Anolis sagrei: one gene and its partners. The protein of the gene in region 1 interacts with the protein of each later gene in a pairwise test. Links are inferred from orthologs where the notes say so. Each region holds a gene or a part of one and is shown in the gene's direction. Other genes may lie near its edges. The genes, in order: RFX6, NEDD9 and FRS3.

Region 1 (7,012 bases):
ATGTTTGTACAACTTGCAGAAGAAGAAAGATTGAAGTAGAATACATTGAAACACTATAACACTAAGTTAAATAATTGTGAGGTGTTACTTCCAACTAGTATATTAACTCTGTCTTCTCTTTTTAAAATTAATAATTCTAAATTTGAGTTTGAATATGTTATTATTTTTACATATAATCCAATTCTGCATATTTTTCCATCTCAAAGGATCACTGAGCTCAGTTCTTTTTGAAATGTATGCATGCAAATAATTAAAGTTTTAAATAACATAAATCCAATGCAACTGCATTTAGTAAAACAGTTACAGGATTATTTTCTCCTGATTAGTTTTCCTTAATGTTCAGTTATAAAATGATTAGAAAGCACATAAATAACTCTCATCAATTCAATGGGTATTAGGGTTGTGCAATATGGGTAAACCTTGACCCATTTTGTGTGACAACTTCTGGTAGGGATCCAGATCTGGTTTTCGGGGGCACCTCCCAAAATTTGGAGGGCAGATATCTGTTTTCACTCTGGGGTGCTGAAAGATCCGTTTTCTATCAGCCCATTATGGGGGAAAGGGGGCTTCCCAGGCTCCGTTTCCCATCACTTTAAGCATTTAAACTGTTAGTGTTTCTACTCTACAGGAGAGACGCTCAGCTGCAGGCAGGCTCACATGCTTTATGGGCCTGAATGCCATACACACACATACTTTTTCCAAGGCAAGGAGACAAGTTCTGTTTCAGAGGAGGTGCTTGGCTGCAGGCAGACGTGCACGCTTTCTGGGCCTGCACACCACATACACACTCTTTCCAAGGCAAGGAGGCTGCTTACAAAAAAGTAAAGAGCCAGGATCAGTTCCCACTTGCTTTCGTGTTGAGTTCATTTTCATACCGGGAGAGGGCTTCCTGTTACGTGCACCTTAAAGTAAAAAGTAACAAAAGAATGGATGAAACAAAGGAAAATGGTTCAGTGCACAAACCTAACGGGCATATTCCAGTTAGGCTTAGCAATAAAATTGAGTCCAGTGTTTTCAAATTCATGGTTTGCTCACCCTATACTACAGCTTCTTTGCTGTTTGGCTATTTTTATGCATTCACTTTCGAACAAATAGAAGAAGAAAAACCATGATAATCTGTACAGCCTTCGTATTTGCTATAAACTTAGCATAGTCTAAGTGTAGCATAGTGCTGTTGGTTCAATTAGAATCACACAACTCCCAGGTGGTAACCAAGACTTTAGTTTTTGGCATTTTCCTGGCAGAATTCAACTGAACCAATCCCCCAAAGACCTGGCTATACCAACTCCACTGTAATCTCTACCCCATTATTTGCTTCAGCTCCCCACTGCTATCTCTCAGAAAATATGTAAAAGATTTTGCCATGCTAGCTGCCATTGCCCAATACAGTTTCCTCTATGGAAGTCCACAAAGGTTTGTATGGATAAAACAGAGCTTTCTGCCTAATGATTATTACAGTCATTTCTATAGCATATAGTTTATAGTTTTAAAAAATGCTATAACAGATTACCATTTTAAACATGAAACCTCCATTTTGAAATAGTATTTTCTTCTAGAAACTTTTTCATTCTTGAAATTTTTGAAAGGTAACATTTGCAGAAAATGTGGGAGAAAATGTGGGCGCACCCTTTGGCAGAGAAGGCTAAAGTTCTTGGAAAACTATAAATTCCATTCCATAGTACTAATACCATGTATTAGTGGAATAAAATTTATAGTTTTCCAAGGTCTTTAGCTTTCTCTGCCAAAGAGTGCTGGTGCTTCACCACACTGCAATTCCCAAGATTCCATAGAACTGATCCAAGGCACTTAAAGTTGAGTCAAATTGCATTAATTCACCCCCCCCCCCCCCCCCAAAAGAAATCCATGCTCTGCCTGTGAAGTAATAGAAATGTATTGGCTAGCCAGCATTTTGATTTATAAATTAAATGCAAATGTTAGTGCTTGTAAATTCCTTGCAATCTTCTGGATACCTGGTTAGTGAAGTGTGGGGAAATCTTCCTTTTTGCTCATCTCGTTCTCCCCTAGTTGCCCATCACCTTTACCATTATTTCATCCACATCACATTCTCTTCCTGGATGCATATGTAGTATGTAGTAAGCATACAATATAGGAGCCCCCGGTGGCACAATCGGTTAAAGTGTTGTGCCAGGTGGACTGCAGACCAAAAGGTCGGTGGTTCGAATCCAGGGAGTGGGGTAAGCTTCTGTCTGTGAGCTCCAGCTTCCCATGTGAGGACATGAGAGAAGCCTCCCATGGGATGACACCACATCTAGGCATTCCTTGCAGATGGCCAAATCTCTCACACTAGAAGTAACTTGCAGTTTTGAAGTCACTCCTGGCACACACAAAAAATGTGGTGAGCTTCAGCCAACATGGTGAAGCATTCTTTCCTTTAGTGCTACAGCAGCAGGACAAGCTCTGCTTGACAAGCAATGGAAGCTGGGAAAATGCAAATTAAAATCACTACCTAAAAGAACTCTTATTTAGGAACCTCTATGTCCTCCAGTGCAATGGTTCCCAACCTTTGGTCCTCCAGGTGTTTTGGACTTCAGCTCCCATAATTCTTAACAGCTCATAAGCTGGCTGGGATTTCTCAGAGTTGAAGTCCCAAACACCTGAAGGGACCAAAAGTTGGAGACCACTACTCCAGTGCAATTTCAGGATCATCTTCCGGTGGGAATTGAACTTAGAGTTGCACTGGAGTCCCATAATATTCCTAGAAAAGCCATAGTAATAAAATGTGAATAATCTTATATATATATAAAAGTTAAACTCACAGATGAGTGAAGTACGCCATCTGTTTTGCTCTTGTCTTCCAGAGTTCAGAAACACAACATTTTCAGCTGCAGTGTCTATTTGTGGAGGATGGAATACACAACACAGCTCAAGAACTTGTACTTCCTCATTTTAAAAAAGGGTTGGTCATAATCAATCCAGTGTCTTAGCTACAATTATATCCGAAGAGGGTTAACTTCATGGTAATCTATGCCCCGAAGACCTCCCATTTGGGCTATAGCAATGTACCTTCTGGGGGGCTACCCTTAAAGATGGTTGAACACCTATCCTTTGTGTAAAATATGATAAGCTTAACATGTTTAAAGTATTTAAAATCATAAAGGAGAAGATAAAGTTATTATATTAGTCTATTTGGCATACATTTTGCATCAGATGTTATTTCTTTTGTCAGTTAATAGGTAATTGGATGGCCATGAGTTCAAGCAATGACAGTTAAATATTAATAAAATTTCAATTGTATTTGCAACAAAAAGGGAAGTGTCCTTATTTGTTTTGTGCATTTTCTAATTTTGCTGCATGACTACTCCAAATATTCCTCCAGATCTCCCACCAAAGATCAGTAAAACATTATTCTGCTTCAGAAGCTGCAAAGGAAGAAGTATGTTGTTAAACTATGCCATCTACTGGTGATTTTTTATCCACAAAATAAATCATTGTATTGATGTATTGTCGAAGGCTTTCATGGCCAGAATCACTGGGTTGTTGTAGGTTTTTTTCGGGCTGTATGGCCATGGTCTAGAGGCATTCTCTCCTGTCGTTTCGCCTGCATCTATGGCAAGCATCCTCAGAGGTAGTGAGGTCTGTTGGAACTAGGGAAAAGGGTTTATATATCTGTGGAGTGACCAGGGTGAGACAAAGGACTCTTGTCTGCTGGAGCTAGGTGTGAATGTTTCAACTGACCACCTTGATTAGCATACAATGGGCTGACTGTGCCTGGGGCAAACTTTTGTTGAGAGGTAATTAGATGTCCCTGCCTGCTTCTTCTCTGTTGTTGTGCTGTTGCAATTTTAGAGTTTTTTAATACTTGTAGTCAGATTTTGTTCATTTTCATGGTTTCCTCCTTTCTGTTGAAATTGTCCACATGCTTGTGGATTTCAATGGCTTCTCTGTGTAGCCTGACATGGTGGTTGTGAAAGTGGTCCAGCATTTCTGTGTCCAGGTTGGTTCCACCTCAACTGCAATACTGTGTCTAATTCTGGGCACCACAGTTCAAAAAGATATTGACAAGCTAGAAGGTGTTCAGAGGAGGGTGACTAAAATGATCAAATGTCTGGAGACCGTTCCCTATGAGGAGCATCTTAAGGAGCTGGATATGTTTAGTCTGCAGAAGAGAAGGTTGAGAGGAGACATGATAGCCATGTATAAATATGTGAAAGGGTGTCATAAGGAAGAGGGAATAGACCTCTTCCTTATGCTGCCCTGGAAACCGGAACTCAGAGCAATGGGTTCAAATTACAGAAATGAGATTCTACCTGAACATTAGGAAGAACTTCCTCACCGTACGAACTGTTCAACAGTGGAACTCTCTGCCTCAGAGTGTGGTGGAACCTCCTTCCTTGGAAAATTTTAAAAAGAGGCTGGATGGCCATCTGTCAGAGATACTTTGCGCTTTTCCTGCATGGCAGCAGGTTGGACTAGATGGCTGATGTGGTCTCCTCCAATTCTCTTATTCTATGATTCTAAGCCAATGGTCATTCCATGATTGAGAACTGGGTTGGAGAGAAAAATATCACAGCATAGAAAGCTGTCATGTATTGAATCCTCCCATTGGCCCAACTAGCCCAGATTTATTACATGGATCTTTCACAGTTTAAGAATGCAAAGGGATCTTGCAGCACCTCTCATACTATGCTCAGACAGCAAAGAGGAAGAGCAGATGGAAGTGCCAGTGAAGCCCGTGGATGTTCCCGTGGCTGAAACTGGAGCCAGAAGCAGCTAGAAAGTTCAAGATAAAATGCCTACATTGATAGAGAGAGACCAGCAAAGAGAGGAGTTCAGGAAGTTGTGCCACTTTATGAAAAATTCTGCTAAATCAAGGAGCAGCTGAGAAGAGGAACCAGAGCTATAAATCAAGTAGTTGCATGATGCTTCTCTGGTGTGGAAAACTACTCTGTTTTGACCTGGTTTCCAACACTTACTTGTTCCTTTGTGGATTTGACTTCAGACCTGTTGTCATTATTCTTCTGGCTCAACCCTAAACAGACTTATTGATTTGGTTTCCTTGGCCTCAGACTCTTTAGACCTCAGCTAATGTCTCACTTATCTTCTGGTAGCTTGTTCTGTTTCAACCAGCCACTTGCACCACTGTTGTGATTACAACAGCACCTTAGAGTCTAAGGCCCTTTTCACACTGCCCCTGTATCTCAGCATCTGATCCTAGATTATCTGGCCATGGAGACTCATATAATCGAGTTTAAACCTGGGATCAGATCCTGGGTACAGGGGCAGTGTGGAAGGGGCCTATGAGAACAAAATTAGGTGCATAAACTTTTGTACACTCAGTCTACTTCCTCAGTTGCAACCTTTGTACACTTAACCTACAAAAGCATGTGCTACTAGTATCAACTTCATTCTCTTTGCTTGTCTCTAAGATATTACAAGATCCCTTTGCATACTATTCCAGACAAACATAGCAATGCCTTTGAATTCTACACAATGAACTATTTAAGGAAGAAATCTTATTATTTATTAATTAAAAATATTTCTGTGCACAAGAACAAGGAAAAGTACTGTAATAATCAATTCAGAAAAATAAATGATGACAACAAAAAAAGAAAGAACAAGAGACCTCTTCCACGAGATCCAAGAAATCAAAGGGAGTGTTACACTCCAGAGCAGGATCCCCTGTGACTTCAAACACCACAGTTTAGTTCAAATAGCAAGCAGTTTATTGTATGTAATAAAAGCCAAAGCAATAAAAAGTAGTCCACAGCAAAAGGTAAATCCAATTGATTAAGAAGAAAAAGGAGCAATTAGTCCAAAGAGAGATAGTCCAAAGAAGTCCATGAAACTAGATGCTTGATTTCAAAGGCAAATAACAGCAAAGGCACTTCAAACAGGAATCAAACAAAGACAAGGGTCCAGGAATTTGGCATGAAGCAAGTTGCTTCATCTGAACATTGCTTCATCTGAAGCTAGATTCTGTACTTGGCACTTATGTTCCTGCCCTATTTCACAAACAGCTAAGAATGGATTTTTCCTTAACTTTAGTTTCACTTCTAACTTCTGATGTAATCTGGCTGAGTGCCATAATTGCTGGTTTGTTTGTCTTTGCTGGCTAAAAACACTTATGTTCAAGCCTTCATTAAAATCTGCACCTGGAGATAACTGACCAGTGGACTGCGGCGCAGAGCCTTTCTCAGGCTCAAGACCTTGAGAATCCCCTTATAGCAATAAAGCCTTCTCTAAGCCATCATTTGAACTGCATTCAGACCCCCCCCCCCCCCAATGTCTAAAACCAGGTCCAGGAAACGGACCGTCATCCCCATTCCCTTCAGGAACATCTTCATGGACAGCATCTCCATTTCCATCAGAAGAATCAACTTGAACATGAACAACATTGTCATTCCCATCATCCAAAACAACCTGATCATTAGACACAATCACAGGCTGACATACAACACGGAAATTGAAAACAAGAGTGGGAATGCTCTACAACCAGCAGGGGAAGACATTACATGACTAAGTAGAAATAAAAGCCAATGAAAACCATACATTGAAAAAATATATAAAGGACGTGAAAGGATGGCAGATTCATTCAAGGAAGAACAATCTGATGATGAGCCAATAACTTTATAAATTAAAATGGAAACTGCACTCTGAGCACTAGAGAGAAATAAATCACCAGGAACTGATAGCACACCAATATCCAGCTAAAGGACAACATTTACTCTAGTTCTAAATATGGGAAACAAAACAATAGCTTACAGAAACACTGGATATACATTCCACTTCCCAAGAAAGGAAATACCAGGGGTGTAGTAACCACAGAACCATCAATTAATTGTTTATGCAAAAAAAGTAGTGCTAAAGTTCTACAACAAAAACCCTTACCCCATATGTGGTGAAAAATGGATTCAGCAAAGGAAAAAGCCCTACCATATTTTATATCCAGAATATTCAAATAATTTAATTCTGGGTTGTTCTAGGTTTTTCGGGCTATATGTCCATGTTCTAGAGGCATTCTCTCCTGTTTTGCCTCCATCTATGGCAAGCA
Region 2 (7,914 bases), on another chromosome or scaffold:
ATCAAAGAGCATTCTGAACTCCACCAATGATGGAATTGAACCAAATATGGCACACAGAACTCCCACGACAAACAGAAAATATATATATATCAATGATTGGTTGGAGGGGGGCACCAAAATACTGTTTGCTTACCGTTGAAAATTACCTAGGGCCGCCTCTGCCTACAAGCTTCCCAAACTCCAAAGAAAGGGACAATCCCTATAATAAGGGACAGCTGCCAGCCTTCCAGTAGGGTGACATGAAGTGGAAATTTCCACTTCTTACTCTTAGCAGATTGACTCCTTTGAATGTAACTGACTATTTTGCTCACAACGTATTACAATATGACCCCCATATCTGCAACACCAGTATAGGATTCCACTTATCAATTTTTGACAAAATATTGTATGTCTTCTCCAGGCATTTTCTGGGTCCTACAATGTGATTCTATGGTATTCTTGGGCCAGAAGTCTTATGTTTCAATAAAGTTCACTATTATCCATGATTTTGTGTGTCCATGTGAAATCTGGGAGTGTATCCACCATAGATATTGGAATCGAATTGTACTTCCAATCTTGGGGCAGACATGGATGAAGACCAAGAGACCCAAAAGGTTACTTTCTCTCTTATTAATTTGCCCACAAACTGTGATCTTTGTAAACTCAATGAGAGAAGAGGTTCCAGATATGAAATTCCCAAGAAGACCCCAACACTCATGACTTCAGGTGGGCAGCGAACCCACACTCTGATTTACTCCTTTTCCTTATAATGCATTTTTAAAAATTGCTATAATTTATGATTTAGTGATTTTTGATTTGGTTTATGTATGTAAGGTATTGAATTTTGTATATTTTGAATACTGTAGAATTTGAAGGGGCACGAATGGAGGGCGAAAGAGAAATGTGCCAAGAGGAAGGCGTGTCAAGCCAATCTGACCGGGACCGCCTTCCACCTGGAAACCAATGTCCTCACTGTGTATGCTGTTACGCCTGGGGTCTATAGATCTTAGTGAAAGATACATGGACGTGATATCTCTCCCCAGGGGATTGCTTCTTGCCCTCCTTTAGGAAACTGGAACTCCCAAGGACCAAAACACTGGATCTAACTCAAAATAGGTTTTATTGTTCACAAAGAGTTATCCCTTTAAGGCAATAAGCTGGAAGTTTCAAAGGGATAAAAGAAATATACATTGCAGTCTCTGGTTGTCTTGGGTCCAAGGAGACTTCGCAGCTGAGAAGCTTTTCCTGTTCCCTCTTTCTCAATGGCTGCAAATGCCTGAACATTCACAGCTCCAAATCCAAATGGCCTATATTTGAAGACACGAAGCCTTCCTCTGGTGCCACAGGATCGGTTTGAAGGCACTTGGGTCTCCTCAACGCTGTCCAGGGAGATCTGGGCATGAAGTATGAGTCCCAAGGGTAAAAACCTTAGAATTGGTGATTAGAGGTAACTTAATTAAAGGCTTTAGAGCCAAGTCTTTCTCATGTCCATCTGCTGAGATGTCTGATGGTAGAATGAAGAAAGAAACACTGCCCTGCTCTCTAGGAAGAGGTGGGGTCAAAACAATTGAGCAGGAGGAGCAATTCATCTGGTGCAAACAACATTGATTGACAGCTATAAATAACCAATCAATCCCACTATACATTTACAGAGAAAACAGATAAGTTGGGGCATGTTACACAGTTTAAACCTTTGCAAATTAAAGTTCTACACACAGGTGGCGCCACTTGTGCCGTCACACTGTGGGAGAAGATGTAGGTGGCTCCACAACCACCTACGGACCCACTGCCAGAACACTGACCTTGGAGGACCATCATCCTTGGACTACGAGGGATCACCTAAGTAAGTAAGAAAGTAAGTAAGTAAAAACTGCTATAATTTATGATTTAGTGATTTATGATTTGGTTTATGTATGTAAGGTATTGAATTTTGCCCTTATTTTTTGTAAACCGCTTTGAGTCCCCCGTCCCCATCCCCCCCGGTTGAGAAAAGTGGTATATAAATACGGTAAATAAACAGATAAACAATAAAATAAGCATAATTTGAATGGGTATGTTGCTGTTCTTTTGTATTTTGTAAGCTGACTTTTATTAGTTTCAAAAAATGATCTTTACAAATAAATTATATAATAATAAAAAAGCCAGGTTCCCTCCACCAAGCCTATCTGCTCTGCAACAGAATCCTTGTACAGTAATCTGGTAACAGAATACAGCCTACTGTTCGTTTTTAGGCCGTTGGAAGCCATCCGAGTCCATCTGTGACTTAGAAACACTGGGGCAGGTCCAACTTGGTCAGAATAAAAGAAACAAAACGTTGAGCTCTCAGCAGCGGAATGCTTTGAGACTCAGACTGGAGATTTTTTTCAGTCCAAATCATTTTGTCTGGTTGGAGTTTCTCCCAGCTGAGATAGTGAATGTCTGGCCAGGAATCATTTCAACCTAATAAAGAGGCCCACTTATAAAGTATGGACATAGCAGGTCGTATTTGATTCATCTCTGCTTGCCTTTGAGTGAACTGAAGCACCTTGTCTTAAACTGGCACATCATTTTAAAAATTGCCAACAAGGGGGAGGGGGCATCTATATTGTTTGAAACCACCTTGCCCTCCAGCATCTAATCAACTCGTAAATAAAGAACTTGTCCCCATGCCAAAAGAAACATTTGACTTTTAATGTTATATTATGAGTGTTAGGGAGGAAAGGACAGAAGGAAATAATTAAGGTGTGTTGTGCAGAGACTATACTATTAACCAGGAAAATTTAAGATGCAAAAGTCGGTTGCTGAGTTTTTTTGGTTGTATGGCCATGTCCCAGCAGCATTCAATCCTGACGTTTTGCCTGTATCTGTGGCTGGCATCTTCAAAGGTGCACAACATCTGATTTCTGCCCTGAAAGCTTTCAACAAGTAAATTACTTATCATGAATTTTATTTACTTATTGTACATAGGAAAAACCCAAACAGCATTGCGGTTGTTCATTCATTCAGTCATTTCTGACTCTTTGTGATCTCATGGACCAGTCCACGCAAGAGCTCCCTGTCGGCCGTCACCTCCCCTAGCTCCTTCAGAGTCAAGCCAGTCACTTCAAGGATGCCATCCATCCATCTTGCCCTTGGTCGGCCCCTCTTCCTTTTTCCTTCCATTTTCCCCAGCATCATGGTCTTATCTAAGTTTTCCTTTCTTCTCATAATGTGGCCAAAGTACTTCATCTTGGCCTCTACTATCCTTCCCTCCTATGAGCAGTCAGGCTTTATTTCCTGAAGTATGGACTGATTGGATCTTCTGGCAGTCCAAGGCACTCTCAGAACCTTCCTCCAGCACCACAGTTCAAAAGCATCTATCTTTCTTCGCTCAGCCTTCCTTATGGTCCAGCTCTCACATCCATACGTGACTATGGGGAATACCATTGCTTTAACTATGCGGATCTTCGTTGCCAGTGTGATGTCTCTACTCTTCTATGTTTTATCGAGATTGGTCATTGCTCTTCTCCCAAGAAGTAAGCACCTCCTGATTTCCTGATTGCAGTCTGCATCTGTAGTAATCTTTGCACCTAGATTATATATTATTATATTACAGGACTGCTCCATTTTCTGAGTGGAGGCCAAAAGGAGGCACTAGACAAAGGATTGTCCATTTTATTGGGAGGAGGGTTGAAGAGTTAAACCATTTCCCCATTTTCCTGTTATTCTCTCCCTCTTTTGGATCTTTTTGAACTACAACTCCAGAACTCAAGGTCAATGCCTATCAAACCCTTCCAGTATTTTCCGTTGAGTTCGGTGTGCCACATTTGGTTCAATTCCATCGTTGGTGGAGTTCAGAATGCTCTTAGATTGTAGGTGAGCTATACATCCCAGCAACTACAACTCCCAAGTGACAAGGTCTGTTTCCCCCAAACTCCATCAGTGTTCATATTTGGGCATATTGAGTATTCATGCCAAATTTGGTCCAGCTCCATCATTGTTTGCGTCCACAGTGCTCTCTGGTTGTAGGTGAACTACAACTCCAAAACTCAAGGTCAGTGCCCACCAAACCCATCCAGTATTTTCTGTTGGTCAGGGGAGTTCTGTGCGCCAAGTTTGGTTCAATTCCATCGTTGGTGAAGTTGAGAATGCTCTTTGATTGTAGGTGAACTAGAAATCCCAGCAACTCCAACTTCCAAGTGACAAGGTCTGTTTTCCCCAAACTCCACCAGTGTTCACATTTGGGTATATTGAGGTTTGGTGCCAAATTTGGTCCAGATCTATCATTGTTTGAGTCTCTGGATGCAGGTGAACTACAACTCTAAAACTCAAGGTCAATGCCCAACAAACCCATCCAGTATTTTCTCTTGGTCAGGGGAGTTCTGCGTGCCAAGTTTGGTTCAATTCCATTGCTGGTGAAGTTCAGAATGCTCTTTGATTGTAGGTGAACTAGAAATCCCAGCAATTACAACTCCCAAATGACAAAATCAATCCCTCTCCCCAACCCCACCAGTATTCAAATTTGGGCGTGTCGAGTATTTGTGTCCAACTTGGTCCAGTGAATGAAAATACGTCTTGCATATGGGATATTCACATTATAATTCATAACAGTAGCAAAATTACAGTTGTGAAACAGCAACCAAAATAATTTTAGAGTTGGGGATCACCACAACATGAGGAACTGTATTAAGGGTGAGAAACACCGATATAGTTCAATCGTGAACCATGCAGGGTTATATGGCTGTGTGGAAGGGCTCTGGGTTTGGAAAACTTTCCTGGGCTCCTCCCCCTGCTCCTGCTCCCCCTCCCCCTCCCTTTCGTGCCAACGCAGAGCGCTAATGAATGACCCGTTCTAAAGGGGAGGCGGGGTCACCAGGAGGCATTCGCCCCCAGCTCAGGAACGTCTGGCGCGCTGGCCAATGGCGGAGAGGTATGCAAATGAGCCATCGCTTTGCCCCCTCCGCCAGGCAAACAATGCGCGGAGAGCGGCGGAGACTCCGAAGGGTGCTCGACCTCCGGCGGGAACGCGCCTCACTCCACACACGGGGACGCGCTTCGCTTCTAAGCGGGCAAAGGCTATGGTGGGCGAGGGGATCTCGCTGTAAAGCGGCCGGATTTCCCCCCAAAGACGCCCCTCATTAAGCTTGCGAGGATGAAGTACAAGGTAAGAAAACGGGAAGGAAAGTTTTGGCTTTTTGTCTAAGTTGGAAAAAAGCGCGCTGGGGCTTGGAAGGATTGCCCGGCTTCCTTCAATGGAAAAGGAAAGGCGAAGGAAGGAGAGAGATGATAGGTTGAGCCTGGTCTCCCTCCAAAGGATTGATTCCAAAGCTTTGAGCCATGGCAGGGAAAGTGGTGTCAAGCTGTTTTGATTCTACAGATGCCCTCACAGGGAAGGGAAAGGGCTGTCTCCAGAGTCAGCTTCCATCAATAACCTTCTTCATTCGACATGTTGCTTCATCACACTGGAGAAAAAATCCACTTAAAATCCGTTTTCTGCCTCCTACAGCATTCTAGGCTTTCTAGTTTAGGGAGGAGATTTTAACAGCCTCACTAAACTACAAACCTCAGTATTCTGCAGGAGGTAGAAACCGGATTTTAAGTGGATTTTTTTGTCTAGTGTGATGAGGAGTGAGCGTGAAGTTTCTAGCGCGGGCGACCTTTGCAGCACAGCAGGCGCGCTTCCTCCAGTCGCTTCCGTTCGGTTACTCCGGATTTAAGGTCGCTCTCAAGACCCAAGCTGATGTGATCGGAGCTCAGGCACTTTCTCCACTCCTTACCTGCGAGGAAAGAAGCCCTGTGGGGCTCAAGGGGACTTGACAGTCTAGGAATGCTTTGCTCAAGTCCTTATTTCTGAGCAAACAACATTTTTTTTTGTTCAAAGCTTTTATCAGAAATTCTTCCCCTTGTGTGTGTGTATGTTGGGAGGGAGGGCAAGCTGAGATCTGGGTTGTTGTGTATTTTCTTTAAACAGGGGCTGGATGGCCATCTGTCAGGGGTGATTTGAGTGCAATGTTCCTGCTTCTTGGCAGGGGGTTGGACTGGATGGCCCATGAGGTCTCTTCCAACTCTGATTCTATGATTCTATGATTCCGGGCAGTCTGGCCATGCTCCAGAAGCATTCTCTCCTGACGTTTCACCCACATCTGTGGCAGGCGTCTTCAGAGGTTGTGAGGTCTGTTGGAAACCAGGCAAGTGGGGTTTATATGTCTGTGGAATGTCCAGGTTGGGAGAAAGAACTCTTGTTTGCTTGAGGCAAGTGTGAATGTTGCAATTAGCTAGCTTGATTCACATATAATGGCCTTGCAGCTTCAAAGCCTGGCTGGTTGCTGCCTGGTTCTGTCTTCCACCCTGGACCTGTGAGTTTACCAAGCTGTCTGGCCATGTTCCAGAAGCATTCTTCCCTGACTTTTTGCCCACATCTATGGCAGGCATTCTCAGAGGTTTTGAGGTCTGTTGGAAACTTAGGCAAGTTGGGTTTATATACCTGTGGAATGTCTAGGGTGGGAGAAAGAACTTTTTTTTGATTGAGGCAAGCGTGAATGTTGTAATTGGCCAGCTTGATTTACATTTAATGGCCTTGCACCTTCAAAGCCTGGCAGGTTGCTGCCTGGTTCTTTCACCCACCCTGGACCTGTGATTTTCGGGGTTGTCTGGCCATGTTCCAGAAGCATTCTCCCCCGACTTTTTGCCCACATATATGGCAGGCATCCTCAAAAGTTGTAAGGTCTGTTGGAAACTTAGGCAAGTTGGGTTTATATACCTGTGGAATGTCCAGGGTGGGAGAAAGAACTCTTGTCTGATTGAGGCAAGTGCGAATGTAGCAATTGGCCACCCTGGTCATTCCACAGATACATAAACCCAACTTGCCTAGTTTCCACCAGCCCTGGCCCTTGAGTGCTCCAGCTGGAGGTCAGCTGTGACCAGCAGTGCTGTGGAGTTTGAAGAGGCACGAATGGAGGGCAAAAGAGAGAAACGTGCCAAGAGGAAGGCATGTCAAGCCAACCCTGACCAGGACTGCCTTCCACCTGGAAACCAATGCCCTCACTGCGGGAGAAGATGCAGATCAAGAACAGGGCCCCACAGTCACCTACGGACCCACCGACAGAACACCATCATCCTATGAGGGATCGCCTAAGTAAAGTAGTTTCCAACAGACCTCACAACCTCCGAGGATGTCTACCATAGATGCAGGTGAAATGTCAGGAGAGAATGCTTCTGGAACATGGCCTTACAGCCCGGAAAACACACAACACCCTAGTGATTCCGGCAATGAAAGCCATTGACAATACAAGTTGAGATCTTTTCTCGGAAGACTGACTCAAACATCCTTAAATACATGGCTTAGGGAAGGTGAGATTCAGACATTGCAAGAATGTTTTGTGAATTTTTCTTCTTGTTCTCTGCTGCCTTTGAGTTAAAGTTGAAAGACCTCCAAGTCAGCCTGTCCTCAAGGTCTTGCAGACCCAGGGTTGTGGCTTCTCGGATTGAGAACTACTCCAAAGATCAACACAGGCAGTCCCCAAGTTTCGAACAAGATTGGCTCTGTAGGCTTGTTCTTCAGTTGGATTTGTATGTAAGTTGAAACAAGGACATGTTTAAAGTGTAACTCCAGCCAAAACTATTTTTTTTCCAAAGCTTTGGATCGCATCGGTAAGGGTTAATACCCCTGTGGGGTTTGTTTTGCTGCCTGTGCCCCTGTTCAGAAGATTTCGCCTCATTTTCCAACCCTGGGATACTTTGATTTTGAAAAAATAGCTTGTTGTGGAAACAAGGACTGGTGAGAAAGCTTCAGTGAAGACATCTTTTCCCGCATGATAACTCTTTCAGGAGCAAATTTCCCATTTTAGGGGCAGTTTTCTCTGACGTCCTGTTTTCCTACGCCCATTTTTAACTATGAGTAGAATGTACGTTGGACGTTTGTAACTCGGAGATTTGCTGAACATGGACCCTACAGCAAATGAAGTCTCAACTCTCCCT
Region 3 (8,070 bases), on another chromosome or scaffold:
TTATGGTAGTGATAGAAGCATATGTCTCAATGAGCCACTATATACCCTCTAAATAGAAATGCAATGCAGTTTGCAGGCACCAAGCAGGACTTATTAATTGTTAAGAAATTATGGATCCACTTAACCAACATGTTAGATCAATGTTGTCCTGTGAAAAGAAGCCATCTACTATGGGGAGCCTTTAGCTGAGAGTTCATATATAGAAGAGCAATAGGGAACTTTGTTTCCTATCAAGAATTGAATTCCTTTTGAGAATACAGGCAGTCACCAAGTTATGAACAAGATCGGTTCTGTAGGTTTGCTCTTAAGTTGAATTTGTATGTAAGTTGGAACAGTACATTTGAAAGTGGAAACCCAGCCAAAGCTTTGGATAGCATAGGGAAGGACTAACACCCCTGTGACATTTGTTTTACTGTCTGAGCCCCAGTTCAGAAGATTGCACCTCATTTTCTATCACTGTGACAATTGGATTTGGAAAAAATATGGCTTGTTGTGGAAATAAGGATTGGCGATAAAGCGTTCAGTGGAGATACCTTTCCCCCATGATAATTCTTCCAGGGGTGAATTTTCCTCCTAGCGGTAGATTTTTCTCACTTCCTGTTATCTCATCCCCATTTTTAACTATGGTCAGGTGTTTGTAACTTGGGGACTGCCTGTAGTATATTGGAGGGTGCTTAGTGATAGGTCCAGATCTGAAACTAGGGATGTGGAACACCCCCTATCCTTGTATCTTAATGACATGACTGAAAGCTATTCTTCACATGCTCAGTGGCACTTCAATATTGTATTAAGTGATCCCTCATTGTCCGAGTATGATTTTTTTGTGTGTGTCAGGAGCGACTTGAGAAACTGCAAGTCACTTCTGGAGTGAGAGAATTGGCTGTCTGCAAGGATGTTGCCGAGGGGATGCCTGGATGTTTTGATATTTTACCATCCTTGTGAGTGGCTTCTCTCATGTCCTTGCATGGGGAACTGGAGCTGACAGAGGGAGCTCATCCACGCTCTCTCCAGATTCGAACCCCCAACCTGTTGGTCTTCAGTCCTGCCAGCACAAGGGTTTAACCCATTGTGCCACCGGAGGGGGGGGGGGCTTCCCTCCAAGTATGATGACCTTCCAAGTGTAGTGTCCTGGTGGTTGATACGTAGGTAGCCGTGGAGCCTTAATATTGACCCACATATTATTCTACAGTGAGGGCAGGGGCAGCTCAAACCATTACACAAAGTAAGCATTTGCAGTATAGTTGATTTTGCCCAGGGGTGCTCTTGAGGCGCTCTTGGGGGAAAATAGACCTTGACATTGTAGTTACTGGGATGTATAGTTCACCGACAATCAAAGAGCATTCTGAACTCCACCAATGATGGAATTGAACCAAATATGACACACAGAACTCCCATGACGAACAGAAAATATATATATCAGTGATTGGTTGCGGGGGGGGGGGGGGGGGCGCCAAAATACTGTTTGCTTACCATTGAAAATTACCTTGGGCCGCCTCTGAGTGAGGGCATTGGTTTCCAGGTGGAAGGCGGTCCTGGTCAGGGTTGGCTTGACGTGCTTTACTCTTGGCACATTTCTCCCTTTTGTCCTCCATTTTTGCCTCTTCAATTCCACAGCACTGCTGGTCACAGCTGACCTCCAGTTAAGAGTGCTTCAATATTATTCCATAATTTGATCTCGCCTAAGGATTGAATTCTGACATTCAAATATAGGTTCTGAGGCTGAACCTTGGCTAAAATTAAGCCCTATATCCTGAAGATTATGCTCAATTTAATGTAAGTAAAAGGTAAAGGTTTTCCTCTGACATTAAGTCCAGTCGTGACAAACTCTGGGGGTTGGTGCTCATCTCAATTTCTAAGCTGAAGAGCCGGCATTATCTATATACATCTTCAAGGTCATGTGGCCAGCATGACTTCATGGAGCGCCATAATTATACATTACATTTTGTACAATGTAATGTACAAAAGGAGAAAAACCTCTGGGTCCATTTGACCGCCTTTCTTGCAGTAGTCAAATTACAAAGTGGTACAGGGTTAAGCATTCCTTATCAGAAATCGTGAAACCTGAAATGCTCCAAAATCCACACTTATCTGCATGAGTAGCTGAGATGGTGACACCTCTGCTTTGCAATGGTTCAGTGTACACAGCAAAATTATTTTAAAATATTGTGTATAAAATTACCTTCAGGCTATGTGCATGGAATATATGAAACCTGAATGAATTTTGGAATTAGACTTGTGCCCCAAACACAGATATATGTCCGAACACAGATAATCCAAAATCGGTGGGGGAGGGAGAGACAAGGAAATCCAAGCATTTTGGAGGAGGGATATTCAACCTGTAAGCCTTAACCTTTAAGCTTGAAGGCCCCATCTGTCCCCCTTGGGCTGTCATGCAGCGCCGCCTAGTGGCTTTAGAGCTTGACAACACTGACTAAGGTAATGTATTGTCGTAGGCTTTCATGGCCGGAATCACTGGGTTGTTGTAGGTTTTTTGGGTTATATGGCTATGTTCTAGAAGCATTCTCTCCTGACATTTCACCTGCATCTATGCCAGGCATCCTCAGAGGTTGTGAGGTACAGAAAGCAAACGTTTTTTACCATTTTGTATATAGAAGACCACTGTACATAATGGGATTTGAGCATCCACAGGTTCGGGTCTCCAATTCTGGAAACAAACCTCAGCAGATACTGGGGGCTCAGGACATGTACTCTCTGACCACAACCTGGTAATAGTAGGGGGGAGAAGAATGCACAGGGCATGACCCTTTTTAAATGTCTGAATGTATCTCCCCTTATGAACCATCTCCAAGATTGAGATCCTCTGGGGAGGCCCTGCTCTCTGTCCCATCTTCCTTGCAGGCGCGACTGGTGGGGACAAGAGACAGGGCCTTCTCAGTGGTGGCATCTCGGCTGTGGAACTCTCTCCCCAGCAAAATTGGATCAGTCCCCTCCCACTTAGCCTTCAGAAGGGAAGTAAAAACTTAGCTTTGGGATCAAGATTTCGGAGAACAGTACAGTGCAATAACAAATTTGGAATATGTTCAATGACTATGGAACAGCTTGAACTACTATTATGGAGGCGTGATTTTAGTATAGAATGAAATGTTTTTAAATACTTAATGTGGATGAATTTGAATTGAATTGAATTTTATTGGAATTGTATGTGTTTTAATGGTATTTATTTATTTATTTGTCGTATTATGGGTTAAACTGCTGAGCTGCTGAATTTGCTGATTGAAAGGTCGCCGGTTTGAATCCAGGGAGCGGGGTGAGCTCCTCCTGTTAGGCCCAGCTTCTGCCAACCTAGCAGTTCGAAAACAGGCAAATGTGAGTAGATCAATAGGTACTGCTTCATTGGGAAGGTAATGGCACTCCATGCAGTTATGCCAACCACATGACCTTGGAGGTATCTACGGACAATGCCGGCTCTTCGGTTTAGAAATTGAGATGAGCAGCAACCCCCAGAGTCGGGCACGACTTGACTTAATGCCAAGGGAAATCCTTTACCTTTTATCAGAAGCAAACCGAGGGTACAGTTATAATGTATTTTAAAAACACAAAGTTTAAAAACTTGGCATTGTGTTAAATGTCCTTGAGCAGTAGCTGGCCACTTGGGAGTGCCTTTAGTGTTGCTACAAGAAGGTCCTCCAGTGTGCATGTGGCAGAGTTCAGAATGCATTGCAATAGATGGTCTATGGTTTGCTTTTCTCCACACTCACATGTCCTTGACTCCACATTGTGGCTCCATTTTTTAAGGTTGGCTCTGCATCTTGTGCTGCTAGAGCCCAGTTCATTTAGTGCCTTCCAAGTTGCCCAGTTTTCTGTGTGCCGGTGTGTGTGTGTGTGTCTCATTCGGTATCAGCCATGGCTTGAGGCAGGGTCATAAGCAGAGGGGGGTTTAAAAATTCAACCCCACTCTGAAATGTGTCAGAAATCTGGTTTCCTCATAAAATGGTTAACCAGTTAAAATTCACGAGTAAACCAAATTTGGGGGGGGGGGGTAGGGAGTATGGGGTTGAACCTTTTTAGGGGATTTGAACCCTTAAACCCCTCCCGGCTACAGCAATCAATTGATGTTCCAGGTTTAGCCTGCCAATTTTGGACTCTTGCTTGCTGAGGCAATTGAGTAATTGCCTATATGCAATCCACCTTGAGTCCCTTTTGGTGGTAGAGAAAGCCTGGGTATAAATAGAGCCAATAAATAAATAAATAAATAAATAAATAAATAAAAGAATGGCAGTAAGCCCACTATACATGGCCCAGCAGCATTGCAGTAGGTGGTCTGTGGGTTGCCCTTCTCCACACTGGCATGTCCTGGACTCCACTTTGTAGCCTCATTTCTTAAGGTCGGCTCTGCATCTCGTGGTGCCAGAGCGCGTCTTCCAAGTTACTCAGTCTTCTGTGTGCCTGGGGAAGAGGTGGGGGTTGAGATGGGGGGAGGAGGGGGTCTCTCATTCGGTATCAGCCATGGCTTGAGGCAGGATCGTAGCTAGAGGATGTAAAAAAAAAAAAATCAACCCCACCCTGAAATAAATTGGTTAAAATTCATGACAGGTTTCAGGGTGGAGGTGAGGTTGAACCCTTTTTGGGGGGGTTGAATCCTTAAATCTCCCCCTAGGACCCCCTCCCCTCTGACTACAGCCCTGGATTGAGGTTCCTAGTTTTAGCCTGCCACTTTTGGACTCTTGCTTGCTGAGGCAATGGAATAATTGCCTATATGCAAGCTGCCTTGAGTCCCTTTTGGTGGTAGAGAAAGCCGGGGTATAAATAGAGCAAATAAAATAAATAAAAGAATGGCAGTAAGCCCACTATATATGACACAGCATCATGCCAGATAGTGCCTTTGCTTCCAGGCGTGATCTGCGTGGCGAGGATTTGGTTTCCTGCCACGCAAAGGCAGGAAAGAAAGGGTGAAATGCGCGGAAAGTAAGCCCCCGTCTCCTGGCAATAGGGAAATCTTGATTTGGTGGTGGATTTGGTGGTGGAAGCGGGGCTGATGCAGGGAGCTGTCCTCCTTGCCCGGGTCCTCCTGCCGGCGAGCGACGCTGTGGGCTGCCTCCTTGCTCCCGGGCCGGACTCCGGCAGAAGGAGACGGAGGAGGAGAAGGAGGAGAAGGGACGGCGGGGAGGGAGTCAGCGCCATCCTCCCGCGCCTGCGGACCTCTTTGCCCTGGGACAGGTAGGCGACTCTCTCCCCAAGCCCAGCTCTCAAGGTCCCCCCACAATCCCCTCTTCCTCGCCCCAGGGACCTCGGTTTATCCAGTGCGCACTGGTGCCCCCCCCCCCCAAATCACATCCTCCTATTTCTCCGGCCTCCTGCCTTTCCAGACATCCCCCCCAAACAAAAACAACCCCCAACGCCTCCTCTGCATCCCAGTCCTCCCATTGCTCCAAATGACCCCGTACACAACCCAAAAGCCTCCTCTGCATTCCCTTCTTCCCATTGCGCCCCACCAAAAAATCCCCATCTCCCTTGAGTGCCACTCAACCCACCGCAGCTCCTTTCTCTCCTTCAGAAAGGAAAAGAAGGGAACGAAGAACCTTCATCACACACACAGAGAGAGATAGATCAGCACCTAGAACACACACACACACACACAGATAGGTTGATAGATAGATATGGATGTATGTTTGTACAGATGTGTGTGTATAATTTTTGACCAGCTTTCCTGAAGCTCATTCCCATCTTCAGTCCAGAGTAATAGGATAGCCTCAGGTTATTCCATCTATTTATACCCAGTCCTGAACCTCTCCTCCAGTTAACCTTCCCTCCTAATAAAGCAGGTATGGACAAACTTGCGCCTTCCCTCCAGGTGTTTTGGACTCCAACTCCCACCATTCCTAACAGCTTCAGGCCCCTTCTGTTTCCTCCTCAACCACTTGGGGTGCCTCTGGTGTTGCTCTAAGAAGGTCCTCCATTGTGCATGTGGCAGGACTCAGACTGCATTGTAATAGGTAGTCTGTGGTTTGCTCTTCTCCTCACTCGCATGTCGTGGACTCCACTTTGTGGCCCCATTTCTTAAGGTTGGCTCTGCATCTTGTGGTGCCAGAGTGCAGTCTGTTCAGCACCTTCCAAGTTGCCCAGGCTTCTGTGTGCGGGGTTGGGGGGTGGGGGAGGTCTCTCATTTGGTATCAGCCATGGCTTGAGGCAGGGCCGTAAGCAGAGGGGGGTTTAAAAATGCAACCATGCTTTGAAATGTGTCAAAAACCTGGTTTTCTCATAAATCGGTTAAAATTCATGAGTAAACCAGGGTTCAGGGGGTGGGATTGAACCCTTTCTGTGGAGTTTGAACTCTTAATCCCCCCCCATAACCCTCCCCCCCAGCTACAGCCCTGGATTGATGTTCCCGGTTTTAGCCTGCCACTTTTGGACTCATGCTTACTGAGGCAATTGAATAATTGCCTATATGCAAGCTGCCTTGAGTCCCTTTTGAGGTAGAGAAAGCCAGGGAATAAATAAATAAATAAATAAATAAATAAATAAATAAAAGAATGGTGGTAAGCCCAACATACATGACCCACCATACGCTTAAGCGGCTGGGGGGGGGGGGGGGAGGAAAGGGCCTGAGGCTGTTAGGAATAGTGGAAGTTGGAGTCCAAAGCACCTAGAGGGCCCAACTTTGCCAATGTCTGTGATAGACCCTCTTTTCACTTTTATAAGGCATCACCCCCTCTTCTTCCAAATTCTCCTTTAGCATTCATTTATTCTGCCCTTTAGCGCACGCGCGTATATATATATATATATATATATATATATATATTCCCTGAGCTGTTCTGGACCTGGTAGGAAAGCCTATTTATACCCAGCCTATTTATACCCAGCAAGATGCCAACCCTGACCGTGGCCCCCAGTTAACCTCCTCTCCCATTAGACATCCCCCTTCTCGGCCCTTCGGACTGTGTTTCTCAACCTTCCTAATACCGCAACCGCTTAATACAGTTCCTCATGTCGTGGTGACCCCCAACAATAACATTATTTTCGTTGCTACTTCATAACTGTAATTTTGCTACTATTCTGAATCGTCATGTCAGTATTGGATATGCAGGATGTGTCTTCATTCACTGGACCAAATTTAGCACAAATATACAATACGTCCAAATTTGAATACTGTTGGGTTGGGGGAGGAGGATTGTTTTGTCATTTGGGAATTGTAGTTGCTGGGATTGATAGTTCACCTACCATCAAAGAGCATTCTGAACCCTGCCAACGATGGAATTGAACCAATCTTGGCATACAGAACTCCCATGACCAACAGAAAATACTGGAAGGGTTTGTTGGACATTGACGTTGAGTTTTGGAGTTGTAGTTCACCTGCATCCAGAGAGCAACGTGGACTCAAACAATGATGGATCTGGACCAAACATGTCATGAATACTCAATATGCCCATATGTGAACACTGGTGGAATTTGGGGAAAATGGACTTTGGCATTTGGGAGTTGTAGTTGCTGGGATTTATAGTTCACCTACAATCAAAGAGCATTCTGAACCTCACCAACAATAGAATTGAGCCAAACTTCTTACACAGAACCTCATGACCCACAGAAAAATCTATGTTTTCTGATGGTCTTTGGTGACCCCTCTGATACTCCCCTGGGGTCCCGACCTCCAGGTTGAGAAACACTGACTTAGGACAACATCCCCTCTCTATTCACTCTCCAGGATTCATTCTACCCCTCTATTCTGATTATTTGGCTATTGATTCTGGGAATTTGTCCCTCACCTTTCCCCAGCTCCAGGGGATATGTGTTCTCATGCATTCTCACCTGAAGCCTCACAGGGATTGCCTCTCTAGGTCATCATCTTCATTGCTTTGTTACAGAGATTTTAATGGCATCTCTCCTGTTTTCACCTGTATGTCAGTGTACTAAGTACACACACACTCTCAGCCAATGCCAAATTTCGTGTAAGTACCGATGAATCACTACCTCACCTATTCTCTGGGCCATAATTTTCCATGCCCCTCTTTCCATTTACTGGAGTAAACACATTTTCAGGATGGATCCCCTTTTTCCAGACTAGACACAAAGGATAGTGTCATATTTAAAGACATGATGACCATGTATAAATAT

What was found.
Region 2: the proteins of RFX6 (region 1) and NEDD9 interact in binary tests that used the Homo sapiens proteins (3 or more experiments, as listed by UniProt). The two-hybrid records come from large-scale screens. The link is inferred for Anolis sagrei from reciprocal best matches to the Homo sapiens genes RFX6 and NEDD9.
Region 3: the proteins of RFX6 (region 1) and FRS3 interact in binary tests that used the Homo sapiens proteins (3 or more experiments, as listed by UniProt). The two-hybrid records come from large-scale screens. The link is inferred for Anolis sagrei from reciprocal best matches to the Homo sapiens genes RFX6 and FRS3.

Annotation. Positions count from the first base shown.
Region 1 is NC_090021.1:89,811,050-89,818,061, reverse strand, and holds the start of RFX6 (DNA-binding protein RFX6), read left to right. Parts: upstream 1-3,916; coding exon 3,917-3,955; intron 3,956-7,012. UniProt on the Homo sapiens protein: Transcription factor required to direct islet cell differentiation during endocrine pancreas development. Specifically required for the differentiation of 4 of the 5 islet cell types and for the production of insulin.
Region 2 is NC_090024.1:83,014,656-83,022,569, forward strand, and holds the start of NEDD9 (enhancer of filamentation 1), read left to right. Parts: upstream 1-4,904; 5' UTR 4,905-5,089; coding exon of another isoform or gene 5,090-5,101; intron 5,102-7,914. UniProt on the Homo sapiens protein: Scaffolding protein which plays a central coordinating role for tyrosine-kinase-based signaling related to cell adhesion. As a focal adhesion protein, plays a role in embryonic fibroblast migration.
Region 3 is NC_090024.1:190,892,368-190,900,437, reverse strand, and holds the start of FRS3 (fibroblast growth factor receptor substrate 3), read left to right. Parts: upstream 1-4,978; 5' UTR 4,979-5,178; intron 5,179-8,070. UniProt on the Homo sapiens protein: Adapter protein that links FGF and NGF receptors to downstream signaling pathways. Involved in the activation of MAP kinases. Down-regulates ERK2 signaling by interfering with the phosphorylation and nuclear translocation of ERK2.